2 linked regions of the Schizosaccharomyces pombe genome follow. The gene in region 1 interacts genetically with each later gene. Each region holds a gene or a part of one and is shown in the gene's direction. Other genes may lie near its edges. The genes, in order: SPOM_SPAC1399.02 and dbl8.

Evidence for each region.
Region 2: mutations in SPOM_SPAC1399.02 (region 1) and dbl8 together harm fitness more than expected from each alone (negative genetic interaction), as found in Schizosaccharomyces pombe (one large-scale study listed by BioGRID).

The regions. Positions count from the first base shown.
Region 1 is NC_003424.3:1,843,456-1,852,604, reverse strand, and holds SPOM_SPAC1399.02 (transporter), read left to right. Parts: upstream 1-4,459; 5' UTR 4,460-4,714; coding exon 4,715-6,484; 3' UTR 6,485-6,957; downstream 6,958-9,149. Other genes in the region: SPOM_SPAC1399.06 (uncharacterized protein), read left to right, coding at 2,247-2,621; fur4 (plasma membrane uracil transmembrane transporter), read left to right, coding at 8,924-9,149.
Region 2 is NC_003423.3:2,555,074-2,567,159, reverse strand, and holds dbl8 (ATP-dependent RNA helicase Dbl8), read left to right. Parts: upstream 1-3,990; 5' UTR 3,991-4,032; coding exon 4,033-9,867; 3' UTR 9,868-10,010; downstream 10,011-12,086. Other genes in the region: oxidative stress transcription coactivator/ribosome recycling protein Oxs1, read right to left, coding at 1-84, 193-726; guanyl-nucleotide exchange factor Muk1, read left to right, coding at 1,978-2,363, 2,412-3,234; tri1 (CAF1 family ribonuclease), read left to right, coding at 10,213-11,496; 1,3-beta-glucanosyltransferase Gas2, read right to left, coding at 11,734-12,086.

The DNA.
Region 1 (9,149 bases):
AAAAATAAGAAGAGACGAAAACGAAAAAAAAAAGAGAAAAGATATTAATAAGAATTAGATATTACAAGTTAGGACGAAAGGAAATCTCAACGCAACAAACTTTAAGAAAAGTTCGTACAGGAAAAAAACAATTACCTCTAAAACTACCAAAGAACAATCAGCTAGTAAATAAGAAACCCCAAGAAATCCACAATTGAACAAAAGAGGAATCGAACAATAAGCCAATTAAATAAAGAGAAAGGAAAAGAGCAAATTAAAAATTAAAAAACTTTATTTCCTTTAGTAGAAGAAGAGTAGACAAGGTGAAACGAAGCGATATGGCAAAGAGGGTATGCTATCGACAGCGCTTAATGAAAAGGCAGAGTTGAGAGAATAAAAGAATACAGAGTAAGTAAAAAAAAAGTGAAGAAATAAAAGGTTTGCTTCAAAACTTTTTCTTTCAGAGATATACAAAGAGTTTTTTTTTTGGTGTAAGGCAAAAAAAACGACAAGGTGCTCTTTTAGTGTTTTCTTTTTTCGACGCAATCAATTTAGATTATGTCAAGGATACGCTACTATAGTAACTTTGGGTTGTTTTAAGAATGAGTGAATTGTTAAGGGGGGAACAACCTAGTCAATTTATAGGGAGGATAATAAATGAATGACTTGAGATAAACAAGTTGGAATGAATGACAAGTACAAAAATGACTTCAGTGATTAAGAAGAAGGATGGAACTAGTCAAATCTCTAACCTTGCAACAAGGAGTGATGGATGTAAATAAATAAAAATGAGCTGATTAGATAGAGCGCGATAGCAAAGGATAACAACTACAAGTAGTCAGAAAATGCTAGACACACACACAAAGAGTCAATAGAGAGAGAGACAATTTAATGAAGCGCAAAATTTCGTGAAGTATATGGTACAACGCAAAAATCCTACTGTAAAAGCGAGACAAAGCACTGCGAGGAGTGATGGGATTGATACAAAGTAATTTGGATGGTGCGACAAAAAAAAAATAGGCGTTGTTTTTACCTACCAAACAATTCAGATGAAAGCAATCGAAACACTAACTTGATAGAGGAAGAAGTGTAATTAAACAAGTGAAGAGTGTAATTAAACAAGTGAAGAGTGTAATTAAACAAGTGAAAATTGTAATTAAACAAGGGTATTATACCTAAAGGATACAATACTCTTTACTGGACTCGACTTGACTTGGATTTACTTTTTTGTTTTTGTTTTCGCTTTTGCTGTTGCCTTTGCTTTGCTTTGCTTGTGAAGCGCAATTCGTTGGAATGAAATCGTGTCAATAAGCCTTATTAAATACAAATTCAACACTCTCAAGAACTACTTTCTTTTCCAGAATAGCGGCGATTACATTTTGGCAAGTCCGCTATACAAGGAAATTTTAATACATACTTAGTAACTAATCTTAGGAAAAGCAGGGGTGAACAAATGCGATTTGCCCATTCCAACATCTCACATCACTCACCACCCATAGGAGCATTGATTATCAATGAGCAAACGCCGATTTTGTTTTGTCTTTGTATTCGCAGCCGAATCCACCACTCAGCATTCATCGCCTTGTACCTCAAACCAATCCGATTCGTTTGGCGCTTTCGTCCAACACAAAACTATCTAATCATCGTTGACGCAGCTTACAGGCATTGGGCGATGCGTAAAAGAAGAAACGACAAGTCAGGGAGGTTGTCGGGGTAGATATAGCACGGATTGGACAGGCTAGATAGAGTGGATGAACAAAGTACTTTTAGCTTAGTCAATCGCTTTAGGACGAGAGCGATAATAGAGGGCCGAGAGCGTTGATAGAAATAAAGAGGCGGAGGGAGAAATAAAGAGGCGGAAAGAGAGTGTGTGAGTAAGGATTTTTGCGACGAAAAAGATGGTAGAGGAGGGTAAAGAGAGAGGGAGATTGGGGAAAGGCAAAGGCGATGCAAGAAAACGATTATGAAAATGAGATTGAAATTGAAGTGGGAGTTGCAGTTGCAGAAGTTGAAGTTGGAAACGATGTAGATGGATAGTCTTTGTGTCTATTTGTGTATTTATCTGTCTGTGTTTCTGTCAGCCTGCTTACTATACTTGCTATGCGACAAGCTACACTTACACATATAGTTACATCTACAATATCAACATTCTACCCATTGTATCCCATTGTATCCAGCAATACCTATGTTACTATTACTGCTCTTACTCTCATTACTTTCCTACTTTCTTCTCTCTTTATACTTTTCCTTTTGTTTCAAATCGAACGATGTTTCTGCTTTCCCTGCTCCATTTTTTCCATCCTTCTCTCATACCGTCTCTCTCTCTCTCTCACACACACTCTTCCTCCCTTCCACCATACCGCCTACACTGCACTGCGCTATCTTATCGAGACTTGCTGACAAAAAAGTCCGCGAACTTTCGTTCCCCTATCTATCGCTCACACGTAAACGAAAAAGGCACCCTCACCCACTCTTTCCGACCAACGAAGGATATGCAAAGTGGGAATTGCTGGTTTACCATACTTAGAAAAGCTAGAAACCTCCTCAATCACGGAATCTTACTCTCATCAAACAACCGATCCTTTTGTTTCATAATTCAAATATCAAAAATCAATCCATTCGAGCGCTTCCTTGAAATGTAAACAAATCGCTCTACCATGCGTGGTTTTTGGTTGGATAAATTAATCAATGTTTGTGCAGCGCATCACACTATATCCCTTTAACGTTTACATGCGTTCTTTCTCCTTATATACGCTCTAGTGTGCCCTTCCCACCTACGTTGTTTATCTACGCTACTTGTCAGTAATGGTCAACTTTGACTAGTGCTTGTAGTGCTTTAAAACGTAATATCTATTAAAGACCGATGCAATCCCATTCACTCCAGTTATCAATGTCACTCGTCTTTCACAGCGTGGTGTTTAAAGTTCTTTATATGCAAAAGAACCGCAAAATGAGTAAAAATTATTATATCCATCTTTTTTAATCCTCCCTCCCCCCGGTCGCATTATTATTGAGTTACCTACTGCCTCTCTAAACCTCTCCAGCTTGCTTTGTAAAACTAAATACCCAAAACACTTGCTTAGTTTTCACTTTCTTCTAGCCCACCTTCCTAGATTCACCTTGCTTATTCAGCTGCACTTTTCCTCTGCACATTCGACAAATTCCAAACCTTCGAAAATTCGGGCCTTTCCTCACTCAATCCCCTTTCGTCCAAGTGTGCAGGTGGCTACTTCCGCTATACCCACCTCCCTTCTTCCTTCCTTCCTTACCGTGTGAGTGATGAAATCTTTCCAAATAATATGATGCTACAGTCTTACAACCCCCAAAAAAAAAAAAAAAAGGTTTGTGAGTAGAATTCACTTTTTTTTTTAAAAACATCACTTCTCTTTCTTCTAATCAGGGAATTCTGCATTTCTGCATCTTGCTCGGTATCTTAGGATAGTGTATAATAAAGCATCGCTAAAGTGGGAAATAGTAGGTAAAGGCCATTAACAATTCCGACATGCTGTTTCAGCCAGTCAGACTAAAAAGTCAAATGTACAATAAACATTGCAATTCTTTGAAAAAAAGAGTTGTATTACAGGCCTGTACATACGCACACTTTTCAATCCATAAAAAAAATCGTTGCTGTAGATTTTGTAAGACGTACAACTAAAGACATATAGAAGCGTTATTGTAATATTGTTACAAAATCCTTAAAAGGAGCACTTTATCGACCCTCAAAAGCACCTTGTTGATCCACAAACATTCTTTTGACTCATTAAAACTTTTCTTAATCATTTCATTGCTTACTTACTCATTTCAATGTTTGCTTAACCATTCCATTGATATGCAATATTTTGTCAACCCTCTCTCTCTTCATTCACTTACTTGTTTACTCCGATCCCCTATTTTCCCTTTATAATATCATACATGTTTACGATTATTTCTACATTCCTCACATTTTAAAAGATTACAAATTTATAATACTATACATTGCTGTCATTACATCTATATCAATATTAATCAACTATCCCGATATCCTCTTATCTTGGTAAATTTGCTCATTTCTTCACGGCATTATCGTTTTTGCTCACTCAAAAAGGAATACTCTTCATTCATTTTCTCGTCGTTTTTAAATGCCTGCTTTTTTCGACTTCCCTTCATTTTCTTATGCATAGACACTCTGTAGACTTTTCTCGACGAACCTCCTTATTTCAGTGTCCCTATTTTCCGGATATTAGCGCGGCTTTTTTTTTTTTGCTCTCCCTTTGCTCCATCGTTAGAAAAATCCTGTATAAATATTGCCTCTAAAGATCGTATTCAAATTTTCTACATGAAAATGCTTACTCGGTAATTACTTGGCCTAATGTGCATATTTTCTTATTTTTAAACTAAGAATATGTGCACTTAAAGCCGCGTCAATTTTCCTTCCTTATAATTTCCTATCTATGTGTTTTCTCAAAACGTACTCATTCCAGGCAAGTAGAAAAAAAACTCTACCATAACCAAAACTAGGCATCCTGGAAGTAGTGTTTTTATTCTGTGATTTAGTTAAAATTTCCCCCCTTTCTGATTGTAACAGACTTACTCAATTGTTTCATTAAAATTGCATTCGTTGTCTTGATTATTTATATTCTTTCCTTCAATATTATTTTTTTTCCTAGCAATATCTCTTTTTCTCCTAGCTGCATTCACCCTCTTCCTTACGGATTTTTTTCCCTAGTGTATTTGTGTTATAAAGTTACTAAACATAATGAATCCTTCTACTTCTCCAAATCGTAATTTGGCCTCCCCAAAGAGTTTACAACTCTATACCACAGGCAGTGAAGTAGCTTGGTATCCAACTGCGCTTGATGAAGCAAACGAAATAAAGTCTATAAACTCGAAAGCCTTTTCTTTCAAGAATCAAGATCAAATTTATGGTGCCGGTTCTCTAAAGTCTCGGTTTTCAACCCATGAAATCTCGTCTGAAAAAAATGATTCTCCTGATTTCACCCTTGTGTTGCCCTCCAATCGATTGTACATCGTTATTCCAGGACTTATGTTGTCGATTTTCTTGGCTGCCTTGGATCAAACCGTCATTACTACGGCTATTCCCACTATTGTAGCAAATCTCGACGGCGGTTCATCGTATTCGTGGATTGGTACTGCTTATTCATTGGCAGAAACATCTATCCTTCCATTTTGTGGTATTATGAGTGAAGTAGTCGGTAGGAAAATTGTCCTCTATACTTCCATTGTTCTTTTCCTCTTCGGTAGTGCCATGTGTGGTGCTGCCCAAAATATGCTTTGGCTTGTACTATGCCGTGCTGTGCAGGGCATCGGCGGTGGGGGTATTATGTCTTTAGTTACAATCGTTATAGCTGACATTACTCCTTTACAGACCAGACCTTATTACACAGGTTGTATGGGAGTCACTTGGGGGGTTGCTTCTGTTATGGGTCCTTTAATTGGAGGTGCAATTTCACAGAATACTACATGGCGCTGGATTTTCTTCATTAATCTACCTACTGGTGGTCTTTCGCTTGCACTCTTGATTTTTTTCCTCAATCTTGTACCCAAGCCTACAGTTTCGTTTTGCGTGTTTTTACGTGATTTTGACTTTGTGGGCATTGTAACCATTACGACTGGTGTTGTGTTATTTTTACTTGGCTTGAACATCGGATCTACAACAGGACATTGGGCCCATGCCAATGTCTTGTGCTATTTAATTTTTGGTATCCTTTGCATTGCCGGTTTTGTCGTCAATGAACTTTATACCACCCGCACTAGAATTATTGCTCCCTCGGCGTTTCAAACACTCTCTTTATCTTCTGTGATGGTAACCTCCTTCTTACATTATTATATCATGTCAACTGTGACTTATTACATTCCAATCTACTTTCAAAGCATCAAGGGTGATGGTCCGTTAATGTCTGGTGTTCATACTTTATCTCTGGCAGTTGTATCTTCAGTTGTTTCTGCCATTAGTGGTATGGGAATAGGAAAATTGAAAAATTATCGATATCCAATGATTGGAGGATGGATAGTTTTATTAGCTGGTACCGGTAGTATGATCGCAATATACTATGACACACCTATACCACGTACCATGGGATTCTTGGCTTTGACAGCTGTTGGAATTGGCAACCTGTTCCAACCCAATCTTATTGCTATTCAGGCTTCTGTACCTCCTGCTTTGATGGCGACTTCTTGTTCCGCATTTATGCTGCTAAGGAATATGGGTGCATCTGTGGGAATATCGATAGGAGCGGTAATTTATGATCAGCAACTTACGACACTTCTAAAAGGAACGGAATATTCTACAGGGCTTTCATACTCTCAAATTGCTTCAATTCCCAGCGTAAGCGAGAGAAACTTTGTATTCAATGTCTATGCTAATGCCATTCGTACAATCTGGATTGTAAATTGTCCAGTTGCAGGAGTAGGAATGCTTCTGTCGTTTTTTACAAAGCAAGAGAAATTATCTCAAAGCGTCACGGAGTACAAAGAAAAGGATAAGGGATTTAAAGATGCTCCTTGAAACTTATTTTTTAAAAAGCTTTTGTTGAAGAATCCCAAAACAACTGTTTATTAAATTTATTTTTCTTTACATTGCAGAATAAGGTCATTGTCTATTTACTTGATTTTTTTTATCTACGTTTGACTGGTAAAAACATTGTGTTTTCTATTACTAGTGTTTAATGTTTGTTTCGGTTTTTTTTTTTTTAACCAAGGATCGAACTTGATTGTTATAATTTTTTTCTGATATTGTTGTATGCTAATGATTTTTTCTTCGATAAGTTTACAAAAATAATTAATCTGCTTTTTGTTTTTACACTACATTTCTTCATTTCGCATTAGAGGCAGGGAGCTAAAGTGTATTGCATGTTAAAACAAAATCTTTCGCCATAAGGAGTTAAAAGTGTTAAAAATTCATGATTACTGCCATGATCTGTCGCAAACAATGTTTACTAGTTTTTCTCCCTCTCTCTTTCTTTTTTATTTTGGTTTACGGTGTAGGGATTACTCTTTACTTAATTTTAATATTTTTTAATAAAATCATTTATCTCTTCCTAGCTCAATTGCTTTGCTTGCAAAAGGTGCTATAGTTGCATCTTTTCTAAACTGCGCAACTAAGGATTTCTTATGTTTACTGATTGATCAGTTGTTCACTTGTTTTCATACTGCGCAGACCGTAGCAGCATTCCCGAACAAGGTAACGATGGATAAAAAAATCATCGCACTTTCTGAGACTATACCTTTTTGGTGGAACAAGCCGTTTGAAGCGCGGCATTCTAATATCATTTCTTTTTAGAAAAATTTAAAACCAAAACACTACTTGAGAATCTTCGTCGAAAACTCTTTTTACTTACGTGAAAAACTAACTGATAAGATTAAGCGATGTGTTCAACTGCTGGCCTTATTTTTATCTTGACAACTTTAAACTCAAAAAAATAGATGCGACAACAAAACCACGAAATCAACAGAAAACTACAAAAAGGCTTGCCGCGGTGAGCTTCCTATCAAAAAAAATGAATGAAAACAAGTATAGTTAATAGCTTGTTATATTGAAAGACGAAATGGACGACCCGTTATCGACCTATTCCAAGCAAACTAGTTTAACTATAAAACCTAAGCAAAGTTCATCAATTATCAAAATCAATTTTTGATACGACTAATTAGTTTCTTGTAGGAGTCGACATTACTTTCGACACCATTGTTTGCATCTATCCGTTTCTTTTGGATCCGGAAATTAATTGATCACTAGCTTTTACCAAAGTCCACACTGTCTTTTTCTTGAGTTTTTCTACATTTCATTTTTTTCTATTTTGTTTGGCATTACACGTTTGTTTTATCGTCGATATTCATCTTTTCCATTCGTTTGTTAACTTCAATTCGCACTGTTTTCCTCCTTCATTTCTTTGATTGTTCGTTCAAAAAGCATTACCCTGCATTCCATTCATACTTTTTTTTGACTCATATTGATTATACGAGTTTACTCTATCATCCTATATTTTGGCTTTTGAGTTAACATACCGTTTTGCACATAGATCAGCCTACGCCCGATTTCTCGTACTTGCAGACTTAGCGAAAATATCTTATTTCGTTGCTTTATCTATACCTCAAGTAAAGCTTTTGAGAATCAGGTCAGCTGCACAGCCAAGTTTTTATCAATTATCTCTATTGTGCATCCGTTCATATACTTATCATTAATTTATATTAAGGACGGCGGCGTAATCTAATCTTCGTCATTTGATAATACCCATATTCCTTACAATCTACGAATTCAGCCTCTTGGTTGGCTTTCTATCACATTAAGTTAGTTAGCGTTTTGGATTTAAACTTACACGCGAAAGATATCTCTATCTCCTCTGATTGCGCTGCGAAATAAAAAATTTTCTCTACATATAAACAAAGGTTTCTTCCTAAGAAAATACATATTTGCAAACTTTATAGGCTTAACATTGAGGGAATTGAAAGGCGACATAAAATAAAACATTTAACGATCTGTTTTGTAATAGCACACAGCTTTTCACTCATCTTTTTTCCAAAGATCGCTTGCTCGCCACTTTTATTGTGGAGAAATTTCTGTTACCTCTGGTCATTGTTACCTCTTAGATTGCTCTGAAAATATTTCAACATTCCACTTTTTCTTCTACTCAAGCCACAGTGCAAGGCCTTTGTCAAACCTTTGTAGGATTTTTTAATACTACATAACTGCTATTATTTGTAAAGGTGAAATATTTTACGGCACTTGTTGGTTTCCTCCATTTTTTTTGTCGGCTCTTTTTTTTTGTTTACGAACGTTTTTTCCTTCATTAACGAATTCACTCAGCTCGTTTAATATTTCAATCTGTTATTTAAAGTCACTTAATTAATTTCGCTCATCTTTTCTTTCCCTACAAAAGTCTTGAAAAAAGTTTTCTCATTTTTGTCGTTTGTTTTTTCTTATCGTCTGAAACATTAATCTTGTTAAATCATGGAGTCTGTGGATAATAATTCTTTTTTTTCACGAATTAGAAATAGCAATGCCTATAGAAAGGTCAAGGATTTTGTTATATTGGATCATAGGCCTGGTATGACTATGGCCGAGAGAATGTTGACTAACAAGGATCTATATCCTGTTCCTCCTTCCAAGCGCCTTTGGGGGCCTTGGAACTTCATTTCTTTTTGGTTAGCTGATGCTGTCAACATCAACACTTGGA
Region 2 (12,086 bases), on another chromosome or scaffold:
GCGTAAACGTGCTTCCAATTCTGCTTTACGAGCTTTACGAAGCTGTTCAACCTCATCTTGACTAGTGTTATAGCTCACATTCATCTGAAATTGTTAGTAAAAATGATATTTACAATGGTTTTCCTGTTTAGGGTTTATACATGATATGGTCATCATCAAAAAGAGTATGCATGTACCCTTATCGCTTCTTACCTTATTGAAAGGATTGTCCGGATGTTTCTGAAATTCTTTATACATTATGTCTTCATATTGGTTTAAACGGAGGCCCGGTTGTTCTTTGCGTAGTTCAGGCAAACGAGATTGTTTGTATTCTGTCAAAGCTGCTTTAAACCGACGTTCAGGATGACGATCAATTTTATCTTTGGACGATGAATTGTTTAAACTTAACAAATCCAAAGCATCATCAATATTGCGGGCACTATATGAAGCTGTCTGAGGGGTTTCGTTGAGGAAAGCGTCTAAAGATGAATTCTTCTTTGCAGCCTTCTTTGACCCCTTTCCTCCTTTAGATGGAAGACTCTCCATTTCTTCTTTTTCTAAACGTTCACGTTCAGCTTTCCTCTCCAACGCAGCTTTTCGTTTTTCAGCTTCTTGCTCCTTTTTATTAGTTTTGACGCCCTTGGACCATTTTTCGTCTTCTTCAGCGTCTTTTTTTTTCTTTTCCTCGTCTTGTTTTCTAGATTTTGCCGCTTCGGCCTTTTCTGCTCTCTTTTTTGGATTCCCCATATCAAGGCTATTAATGGTATGTGAGATTTGAATGACTTGAACAACAGGTGATTTCTATATGCCGCCTCGTTATAAGAAAGGCGACGAAGGATGGATTAATAATCTGATCTGATAATTTTTATAAGTGAATGTCTCGTTATATCTCCCTATTTTTATCAGTGTATTTACAAAGGTGTATTGATAACACTGAACAAACGGCGTCAAACGTTGGTATGTAACTGAATTTTTATCACTAAAATAGAAAATAAAAGTTCTTAATTGGAAATCTGCTACTATTTATTTCCTTAAATGCCTTGATGCAGGCTAAGGGTATATTGAATGGTATAGACACTGCATAATACACCATAAATCCTTTTTATGACATGATGGCATTCTTAACAGTGATAACTCATTAAAAAGAGAAACAAAGTCAACCGATGTAAATTGATCATACTCTTCAATTACAATATTATATCATGACAATTGTTATGGACTTCGATGTGTATTTCATGAAGTTTGAAAAAGTAAAATATATCATCAAATTAAATGCTTATTCTTGCCAAATTATTCAACAATATCGTACAGTGAACAATTGCTTTCAAGTATTGATTAGTTTATTGTAATCTATATAAGTATTAAACTTCATCTTCGATACAAATAACGTACAAACTAACATTCCGATCATCTTAATTGTTAAAGGAATTAATGAATCTATAATTCTAAATTATTTTTTTTAGCACTTAAATTTACTCATCCTATTATTTACATTTACAGTATACGGTTTCTTAACGAGTATACGCTATTATTATGCCGAAACATGAATGCATATCAATTTTGGTTCTACCAGCACTGTTCCTCTATTTTGAAGGGTTTATAAGTTAAAGTCAAGTAAGCATTACCTCTGATTATTATTTCATTTTATATCAAGTTCTTAATCAACGTTCTTATTTTTTTAATTCGTGTCTCTATATTTTGACAATTACTTGAAAACTTGTCATACGACAAAGGTAAAGAAGGAATTGCTAGCATTTATAGCTTTAAAACGATGTATATTTTCTATTAGGGATATATTGTTATATTTTTGACTCTCAACGAATACTTCGTACTCGGTTCCTTCGATTGCTGTTTATCCTATCTGATATAAATTTGAAAATTTGAATTAGACCCTATGCTAACATATTCTTAGTTACATGTATATATAGAATTTTTTTTCGTTTAATTTTATTTTTGAAAATTAAACTTTTTGATCACCTTTCGTAAAAGTTCCTTTCGATGAGCTTTCTGAATTCTTGGAGAGCTGTTAAATATACAAATAAGCCTAAGGAAGAAGACATCAAACTCCCAAATTCTGCATCAAATCTTCCAACTACTGTACAAGCATGTGTGATACAGTTTATCTCTTCTCTAGTTAGTCCGGTTCACCCTCAATTGCTTTCGCCTGAAGAACTAGCAAAAGCATTTCAAAACTTTTACAAGCATACCGATGAGTTTATTGCTTCAACCCTTATCCCTCAACCCTCTTCAAAAGATCAAAATGTGCCTCTTTTGTTTCCTGAGGAAATAGATGCTCAGAAAAAGGCGAGACAACACTTGCTGAACCAAAAAGATGAATGGATGGACCAAATTGAAGATATAGTTTGCGAATATTTGTATGATCGGTATGTGATTACTTCGCCTACAATAACTGTTTACTAATATTGTGTTAGGATTTTCTGTTTATCTACAAGTACGGATGCTGCCAAAGATGACTTGTTAAAAAAATTTATTGCTTCTGAAGAAAAGAAAGAACTTATCAATTGCATTCCAATACCTGATGATGAAAAACTTACAAACCGGTTACATGAAGTCTCTGAAGCATTTTTTGCTCTCGATGAGCAACACACACCTAGATCGAAAATAAACACTTTTATGACCGTTAATTCAAGTATATTGAATGCCTCTCAACTTCCTCAAGAAGAATTGAATGCTGATTCTTTATTAAATTTGACCATATATTGCATTCTCTGTTATCCCGGATTTCATTTAATATCGCACCTGAATTTTGTGTTACGCTTTCGAAATGCAGATTTTTTAAGCGGAGAGCAAAGATACTGTCTCACAACTTTTGAGGCAGCCCTTACTTTTATTCTTCGAGCTTGTCCAAATCTTTTAACTCAATCGTCAATTCAACCCTCTGATGATCCTCTTTCACTTGAGGTAGCTAATAGCGAAACAGTTTCGACCTCTAACTCGCTTCATGATCCGAGTGCAGAACCCTACCCTGTGAATCGCTCATCTTTATCTAATTTAAGAAATCTGGGACTAGCACTTGAGAAATCTTATGCCTCTCTACTTAGTAAAGTAGCCAATCACACTGCCAAAAGTTCAGAAGATTCTTCCAATTCTGTAGAATTCGTGGGCGACCCACCTTTGGAACGCTTTTTGACTGTTTCTGATGCTAGCGATCTTAAAATCGGTGAAATTGAACTTCTTCTTTCTGACTATAAGCGCCTCGCACGTTTGCTTTTTGAGAAAAATGGTAATCAGTAATTTTGACTGAATATTTTCTTTAAAAATTTCACATCCAGTTGGTTTTCGGCTTTGTTTATGGTTATTTGATTCATTTGAGAGACAAAGTCATATAGAAAAGTTATATGATTGATCAATATTTTTTTTTTCTTTGTTGCAGGTCAATTCGTGAACAGCTTAAAAGTTTAAAAGAAAATTTTTATTCAAAACAAGGATTGATTATTCCTTGACGTCTATTTTATTAATGTATGAATATCACAAAGAACTAGCAAAAATGATTTAAGCTTGTATGTTGACGCAAAGATTGCATGCGAATTAAATCCTTACAAAGGAAATATATGAAACGAATATATCATGTTACTGCAAAATTTTTAAATATACTGAATAAAATGAACTGTGATTCTTTGCTCAGTGAAGAAAATAGTCATATTTGAAACTAGGAATTAAACACACAATCACAAACTTCGGATTATAATGGGTAAGAAAGTTTTTTAAGTTGTCACATTATATATAGTAATGTTTAAAATATATTTCGGATAATCATATATATCTTAATTACAATAAAGAAGCGTGATTTTGGTACATGAATTTATATACACTTTCAAAATATACGTTCATTTTTTTATTTAAAATTTCTCTTAAGGCTATTTTATTTCAATGCGATAATCGAGTGCTGTGTGGACATCAAATGATTGGTTGCACTAAATGTTTATAGTGAATAGTGTAATTTACTTCCTTAGAAACCTAGATTTTGAAAAATTGCAGTCGCGCTTTAATAAGTCTACTTCGAGAGTGAGAATGCAGCATTAGCTTGTGGTTATGGAAAATGACGAGGCTTTTGATAGATTAATAAGAAAAATTCAGGAAAATCAAAAACACCCATCTTTCGAAGGGTCCAATAAAGTTTTGCATTTGGCGCTTTCATACCTAAATACTAACAGACAAAACCCTCATTGGGTTTGTGATCCTAAATTACAAGTAGCAGTTCGTGAATGTCTTTTTCTATTTTCTTTTCAAAATGATAACGAGTATCTGGTATGGTTCAAAAAACATTTGAACGAACGCCTTCAGTTATGCCCCAAATGTATAGTTAAATATCACCAATCTTTAGATGATTTCAAAAGTCTATGTTTAAACATTTTTCACTTTGACCCAAATACTCTTGAGATTGTAATGGAGAAAATTTATAGTTGGGACATTTTTCGGTTACAGGAAGTTCTCAAAACAGTGCCTAAAATCGACACGTCCTCGGCCTCTAAACCTATACTATGCGCCTTCTACGAAATCTTATACTCTCCTCGTATTTTACATAATAAAGAAATCTTTCCCTTGTTCCGAAACAGATTTCTTGAGTCCGGTTTTCTTCGGCTCTCGAAAAACCTAGTGCCAGGTGTCATAAGTCTTCTCTTCTCGAGAGATGATGAGCTCCGAAGATGGGCTTGCAGTATTTTAAGTGATGTAAAAACAATCTCCGATAATGAATTTAAAATCCTTGAGGGTCCCCTTCTTCAGGAAATTCGTTCTTTAGACCAGAAGAAAGAAAATGAGAACGAGATGCAAATTTTTCTGAAAGGTTTATCGTTGCTGTTAAAGCATGTTGATCATCTTTATTTTAGGGGACTTACAGGAAAAAATTTCAATGTCGCCGATTTTATTCTTTCGGGATTGCAAAGCGACCATACTAATTTATGTCCGTCTTTCCTTGTATGTTTACATTCTTTGTTATACTGCTATGGACGTAATTTTTGGACGCCAGAAATTTCTCCCAGTGAAGTAATAGATAAAATTTTTAATGGTAATGCTTATAAGAGGTGGACAGAAGAAAATACATCCAATTTTTCAAACGACCAAAAGGCAGAGAATCCGTTTGAATGGGCTACCTCTCTTTTGAAGACAATTTCAATCATTGATGAAGTTGAATTAATTAACAAAATTTTGATTAATTACACCATGCAATATAAAAAGGAACTGGAAGTCGGTTTCAAAAATGTTCAGTTACTTCAATCACTTGCTGACATATTTTCAGTTTTGTTTTCCGAATATTTTATGATTTTCCCCCATAGTGATCAAAGTTTACAAAACAAAGTATTTGAATTACATTCCACTTTAGCGATTAAGTTTGACGAGCTGTTTCGTTTGCTAAACTTGGAAAATGAAGAGTCTGTTGAATGGAGGCTTATTAAGAAAGTTTTTGAATACCGATTGAATTTAGATCTTTATATTTTGAAGCAATTCTATTGCCATTATTTGGACAGAAATAGAAAGCCACCCTTGAATATCAAATCGGTAAGTGAGTCTTTTAAAAATTTTTGGGTATATTTGCAAAACGTATTTCGAGAGGAGAAGTTCTTTATGGTTCGTATTGTTTTTCGTGCTTGCTCTACAGTTTGCTTGATTGATAAGTTGCCGCCTAAGAAAGTTGACATTCCGTTCAAAAGTGATTTCGAAAATGCACTAAACGGATTTGTTGCAACATTTTCTGAAATGCTTATTCAGACTCAATGTTGGCATTTGTCGGCACAAACCCAATTGGTTTCAAATCCTTTAACTTTTCGTGGAATCTTTTCACTCGTTTTTTCTCCAATTCTTGAGATCTCAACAGGAAGTATCTCAATTATTAAATCTATTTCGCTTTCTGACAGCGTTGTTGATACTATAGGAGAGCTATTGAGAAGCCAGTTTTCAAATACACTAAATTCTTCATGTTATGTTCTTCTGCAGTGGCTTAAAGTCAGAAACTTTGGAGGAGCCAAGCACATTGTTTATTTTAATAAATTAATTATAAACACTATTTTTGACTCTGTTGATGGCTTAACTTCTAAGGATGCGACTTTTGCAAAACAAGTGGAAAAGAAAGAATCCCTTAAGAATTTCTGGGAATCGTTATGGAAATTCTTTACTCATTTTTTCATTGTTCTTCCTACTTGGCCAGTTCATGATAAGGACAATTTAGTTGATTTAATGCGGGATACCCTTGATTTTTGCGATATGCTCATTAATATTTTTGAGGAAGTTAACGGATTCATTTTTGGATTATCGGATAACGATATTAAAATTGTTTCGGCTAATGATAAGGGCAGTGCTTTAGCTATGTGTATAGCTGATTCTTTGGTTACTGTATCTTATTGGCTTAAGTTAACTGATTCTTCACTTCTAACATCCGTTGTGAAAGTGATTTGTAAAATGCTTAAAATTTGTAAAAAGTTGGAGTGTCCAATTAGTCAAAATGTGATTGATATTATCCATAGGGCATCAATTACCAGTGATGAACAAACAATTCTTACATTCACTGAGAGAGAGGATCTTTTTATATCGCTCACACCATACCTTTCAGAAGACGTTCTTAATCACTCTCCTTTCAATGATACCAATACGCTTGAAACTAAGTTACAGAGTGATGATCGGGGTTTGCTTTCTAAAGACCAGACTATTGGGATTGCGAAAAAATTACCTGAGTCAAACATTAGTACTTCAAATCATTTTTTGCTTCCTCCGAAGGCTATTTCTGCTTCTAAAGCCATCAATAGAAATGCTCAAAAATCTCAAAATTTAAATTTTTTGAAATCTAAACAAGAGACAACACAGCGAATTCGCGAATCCGCGAAAGTTCCAAGAACCAGTGCGGGGAACCATCTTTCTGAGAAACTTAATTCGGATAATCATATACCAAAAGCTTTGCAAAAGCTCGATTCTGCTGACCCAATTCGCAAGCCTTCACTTTTGCACACTTCTAAAAGTTATTCTAATCCAGATGACAAAAATACTTCAACTTCCGATGAAGATACCTCGGAGTCCGAAGAAGAGTCTAGTAACGGTCTATTCTCGCTTGCACGTGAAGCTAATTCTCATGCCTCTAAATCTCTTCCACAAAGAAGGCAGATTCAGTTCTTGGACTTTGATTCCCTTAAAACAAAAAATGTAGTTCATCCTACTCAATTGCGCCGTAATACTCAACAAAGTGCACAACTTGCTCGACTCCGGCTAAACCCTGATGTTCAAGAGTTTTACAAAGTAATTTTGGGTTGGAACCCATTAGCTGATTCTTTTTCGGCGTCTAATGTTGAGATGCAGTGCGTCCAAGCTAAATTCACGTATAATGATTCAAACGCTTATGAGAAAGTTTTCAAACCAATGTTGTTTCATGAATGTTGGGCTCAAGTGAAAAGTGCCGTTGAAGAAAAGCAATACCCTCCCATAGATTTAATCCTCAACACCCGCAGTACAGTTGATAACTTTGTCGATATTTACTTTACGTCCTGTTCACCTACCGAAGTCTCTTTTTTAAGTGATACAGATATTTGCTTACTGTCAAAATCACAAAGTTCGGGCGATACTAATAACCCAAAATCTTTTCAGTTGTGCAAAATTCAATCCATTTCTCGTAAAAAAGAATCACTTGAACTCTGTCTGCGGATGAATATTGAATCAATTGATCTACAGGAGTATGCACCGAACATTAGGTTCACAGCACAAAAATTATTTAATGCTACTACTAGCTTACGTGAATTTGCTGCTTTAAAATCTCTTCGCCATTTACCATTGTCTCAGAGAATTCTGGATGCCAATGTAACGCGTCTACCTTCAAATTTTACAGATGACAAAAAGCAAAAAATAATGAAGTCTTATGGTGTAAATGAACCCCAGGCATATGCGATTTATGCATCTTCTGTAAATGATGGTTTTACGCTCATTCAAGGGCCTCCTGGAACTGGAAAAACTAAAACCATTCTAGGCATGATTGGAGCTGTACTTACTTCTTCTAGTCAAGGGTTGCAATTTAATGTCCCAGGACAGACGCGAAAAACCTCAAAGAATAAGATTTTAATATGCGCTCCTAGTAATGCAGCCATAGATGAAATTCTCCTTCGTATCAAAGCCGGTGTTTACGATCATGAGGGTATCAAATTTTTTCCAAAAGTTATTCGTGTTGGATTTGGTGACTCCATAAGCGTTCACGCTAAAGAATTTACTTTGGAAGAGCAAATGATAAAGCAAATGGAACTTACGAACCTAAAGAAAGATCAAGAAGCAAACAATTCCAGTGATACTCGGAAAAAATATGACTCAATTATTAAAAAAAGGGACTCTTTACGCGAAGATCTAGAAAAGTTTCGTAGTACTGGAAAAAATAGTTCAATATTGGAAGCACAGCTTCGTGAGATTACCAAACAGAAAAACATGCTTGAACAGAGCCTTGATGATATGAGAGAACGTCAACGCTCAACTAATCGTAATCTGGATGTTTTGAAAAAACAAATACAAAATCAACTACTTCAGGAAGCTGATATTGTATGTGCTACCTTATCTGCGAGTGGTCATGAACTACTTTTAAATGCGGGTTTGACTTTTCGAACTGTCATAATTGATGAAGCTGCACAAGCCGTTGAATTAAGTTCAATCATACCTCTTAAGTATGGCTGTGAGAGCTGTGTAATGGTTGGTGATCCGAATCAGCTTCCTCCTACTGTGCTATCAAAAACCTCTGCAAAGTTTGGATATTCACAATCTCTATATGTCAGAATGTTCAAACAGCATAATGAGAGCGCTTGTCTTCTTAGCATACAGTATAGAATGAATCCTGAAATTAGCCGATTTCCCAGCAAGTTTTTCTATAATTCAAAACTACTTGACGGTCCCAATATGTCAGCAGTGACATCTCGACCTTGGCACGAGGATCCGCAGCTAGGTATTTATCGATTTTTTAATGTTCACGGGACGGAAGCTTTTTCCAACTCAAAGTCTCTGTACAATGTGGAAGAGGCTTCGTTTATTTTATTATTATATGAGAGGCTAATTCAATGTTATCTAAACATTGATTTTGAGGGGAAAATTGGAGTTGTTACCCCTTATAGAAGTCAAGTACAACAGCTTCGATCACAATTTCAAAGAAAGTATGGTTCCATTATATTCAAGCATCTTGATATTCATACCGTCGATGGGTTTCAGGGACAGGAAAAGGACATTATAATTTTTTCTTGCGTTAGGAGTTCGATGAGCGGTGGAATCGGTTTCCTTCAAGATCTTCGTCGGCTTAATGTAGCTTTAACAAGAGCTAAATCATCTTTGTATATCGTAGGCAATTCTAAACCGCTAATGCAAGAGGATATTTTTTATAGCTTGATTGAAGACGCAAAAACTCGTGGTGTTTGGAGAGACTTGAGTGCTAATCAATTTAAGAACTCAAAAAGTATATCAAACGTTTCGACACACCTCGCATCTAACAATTTAAATTTAGCCTCACGGGATACCCCAATTAAGTCGCCGTCGGTTGGTATCTGTGAGGAAAAACAAGAAGCACATAAAGTCAAAAAACGGCACAATATAGATAGTGCTAATTTGTCAAGAGGAACTGAGAGAGATGAAGATATACCGAATAAGCGCGCTAAGAACAAAGTTTCCACTGATCAGACTGCTGCTGATAATAAGGTCACGAAACCACGCCTTGATGAATCATCCAGTTCCAAGCAAGATGTGTTAAACAAAATAGACGAATCTGAAATTGAACAAGCGTCTTCCAAAAAGCCGGGTTATGTGGAAAAAAATAAAGATAAAGGCCATATGAAAAAATCAAAAAAGCCCAAATCGAAACTTGCTCTGGCGGCGATGGCCCACGGTTTTGCACCTCCAAAAGTTGAGCATTTCAAAAGGAAGTAGCCGATTTAGGTTTTAGTATGAGTATTTTACAGTATTACTTTTTTAATAACACGAGTAGCGGGACGTTTTCAATCATTTGAATCTTAGACATAGTTTATTTATTAATATTTCTCCTATCTAAAAATGATTTTGCTTACAACAACACTATATTAATTTTTACTCAATGGTATATATAAACAGGACAAATGCACCAGTATATTCTATATGTTTGTGTTAGGATTATATCAAACTTGTATTAGCTCATACTCACAATTTCATTATTAATTAGCTTCCAAAATATGCTATAAATTAGCATATTATCAGTGCATGTTCAATTGAGTTCTACAAAATACATTGAATCTATAGATGGAGATACATGGCAAAAACTTTTTAGAGACATTAAAAGAATTGGAGAAACACGTAGATTCAGCACACTATGTTTCCATTGATTGTGAATTTTCCGGATTATTAAGAGACTTCAACCTTAACAACAAAAATACTTTACAAGACAGATATGAGTTACTGAGAAAAAGTAGTATACGATACACAATTTTACAAATTGGTATAACCTTTATTTATTTGCAAAACAATGGAAAATCTTCGTGTATTCCCGTAAATATTAACGTAAGTCCTCTAGTTAAAGATGAATTGCACCTTAAGAGAGACTTCTGCTCGGAGGCTAGCAGTATTAAGTTTCTGATACAACAAGGTTTTGATTTTAATAAACAACTGACAGAGGGTGTACCATACTTATCACGGATTGAAGAAAGAAATTTGATCGACAAGGTTAATGAAAGATCAACTGACGACTTGACCAGCTCAATTTTAGATGCTTGCGATGAAGAAATTCTTGTTGACGCAAGAAATCAAATTAAGAATTGGTTATCGAGCGAGTTGTCACATTCCACTTCAAAATACTTGAACATTACTACCTCTAATCGTTTTATAAGAAAAGCAATACAATCCCTGGTTAAAATTGAATTTCCAACTTTAAAGAGTTACCCCAAAAGAACATTTCTGCAGGTTCGGAAGGCTATTGAAAATTCGACAACTCAATGCTCTGCCACTTCAAAAAGCGAACTCAAAGAAGATATTGCGAGCGACCAATTAATACTTAACAATCTAAATTTGATCAAACAGAATGTTGGGTTGCGACATTTATGGGACTATATACTTAAGAAAAAAAAGTCAGTAGTTTGTCACAATGGCATGGCAGATTTGGTGTATTTGTTTTCCCTTTTTGAAGGAAAAGTCCCGGAAACGATATTAGAGTTTTCTGAGCTTTGTTTATCATCTTTCAAATCTATATATGACACTAAACTTCTCTACTTGAAATCCGATGATCTTCAACATGTATCAGATGGGATACCAACGGACTTACTTTCCTTAGTTTCAAAGATATCTCTACCGCCAGTACCTTCTAACTCCTCATCTCAAAGGTCAAATGTTTCTTTAAATTCGCTGATTGAATGTCCATATAAGTCAATGATGAGCAGAAAACGCCCACATGAAGCAGGAAAAGATTCATACGACACTGCTCTACTATTTGTTTACTACGTTATGAGAACAAAACACTCGGATATACAGCGATGGCAAAATGTTCTTCCAATTCACGGTAGTTTTCTTGACCTAAATAAATATTGCAGTTGATTGAATTGAAGCGAATAATCTTCTAAAATATTCAAAGGTTATATAAACCCTATGGAGATTACAATAGTACAGGTGGCTGATTACAAACTCATGGATTATATGCAAGAATGGTATGTGACTAATAAAATTGTCAAAGGATGTTATTGGAAAAATGTTAGATAAGTTTCAATGAGGCTCAATTTTGAGGTTTAAAATTATTTGAGAAATGAAAAAATTGAATAAGGATTAATGAGGAAATTATGCCTTAAGCTCACCAACACCACCCCAGCTACAAGAATCGGCACCATGATCCTGAGTGTAAGCGTTAAGAGCAATGCTAAGTTGTTGGACACCAGTGCAACCAGTGTAGTTACCATAGGTACCCTCATAAGGATCGCTGCTAATAGAAGAACAGGCCTTGTTATCGTAGTAGCAAAGTTCGCTCAAGACCTGAGAGATCTTGCTACCGGAAGGAGTTCCATTTGCTGAACACTTGAGATTCTTAACGGCATTGGAGCAAATCGTAGTGTTGGGAGTTACTGGGAAAGCATTAGCACTGACAGCCCAGCTGGTCTTGTTTCTGGATGGACATTCAGGAATAGTACCGTTGG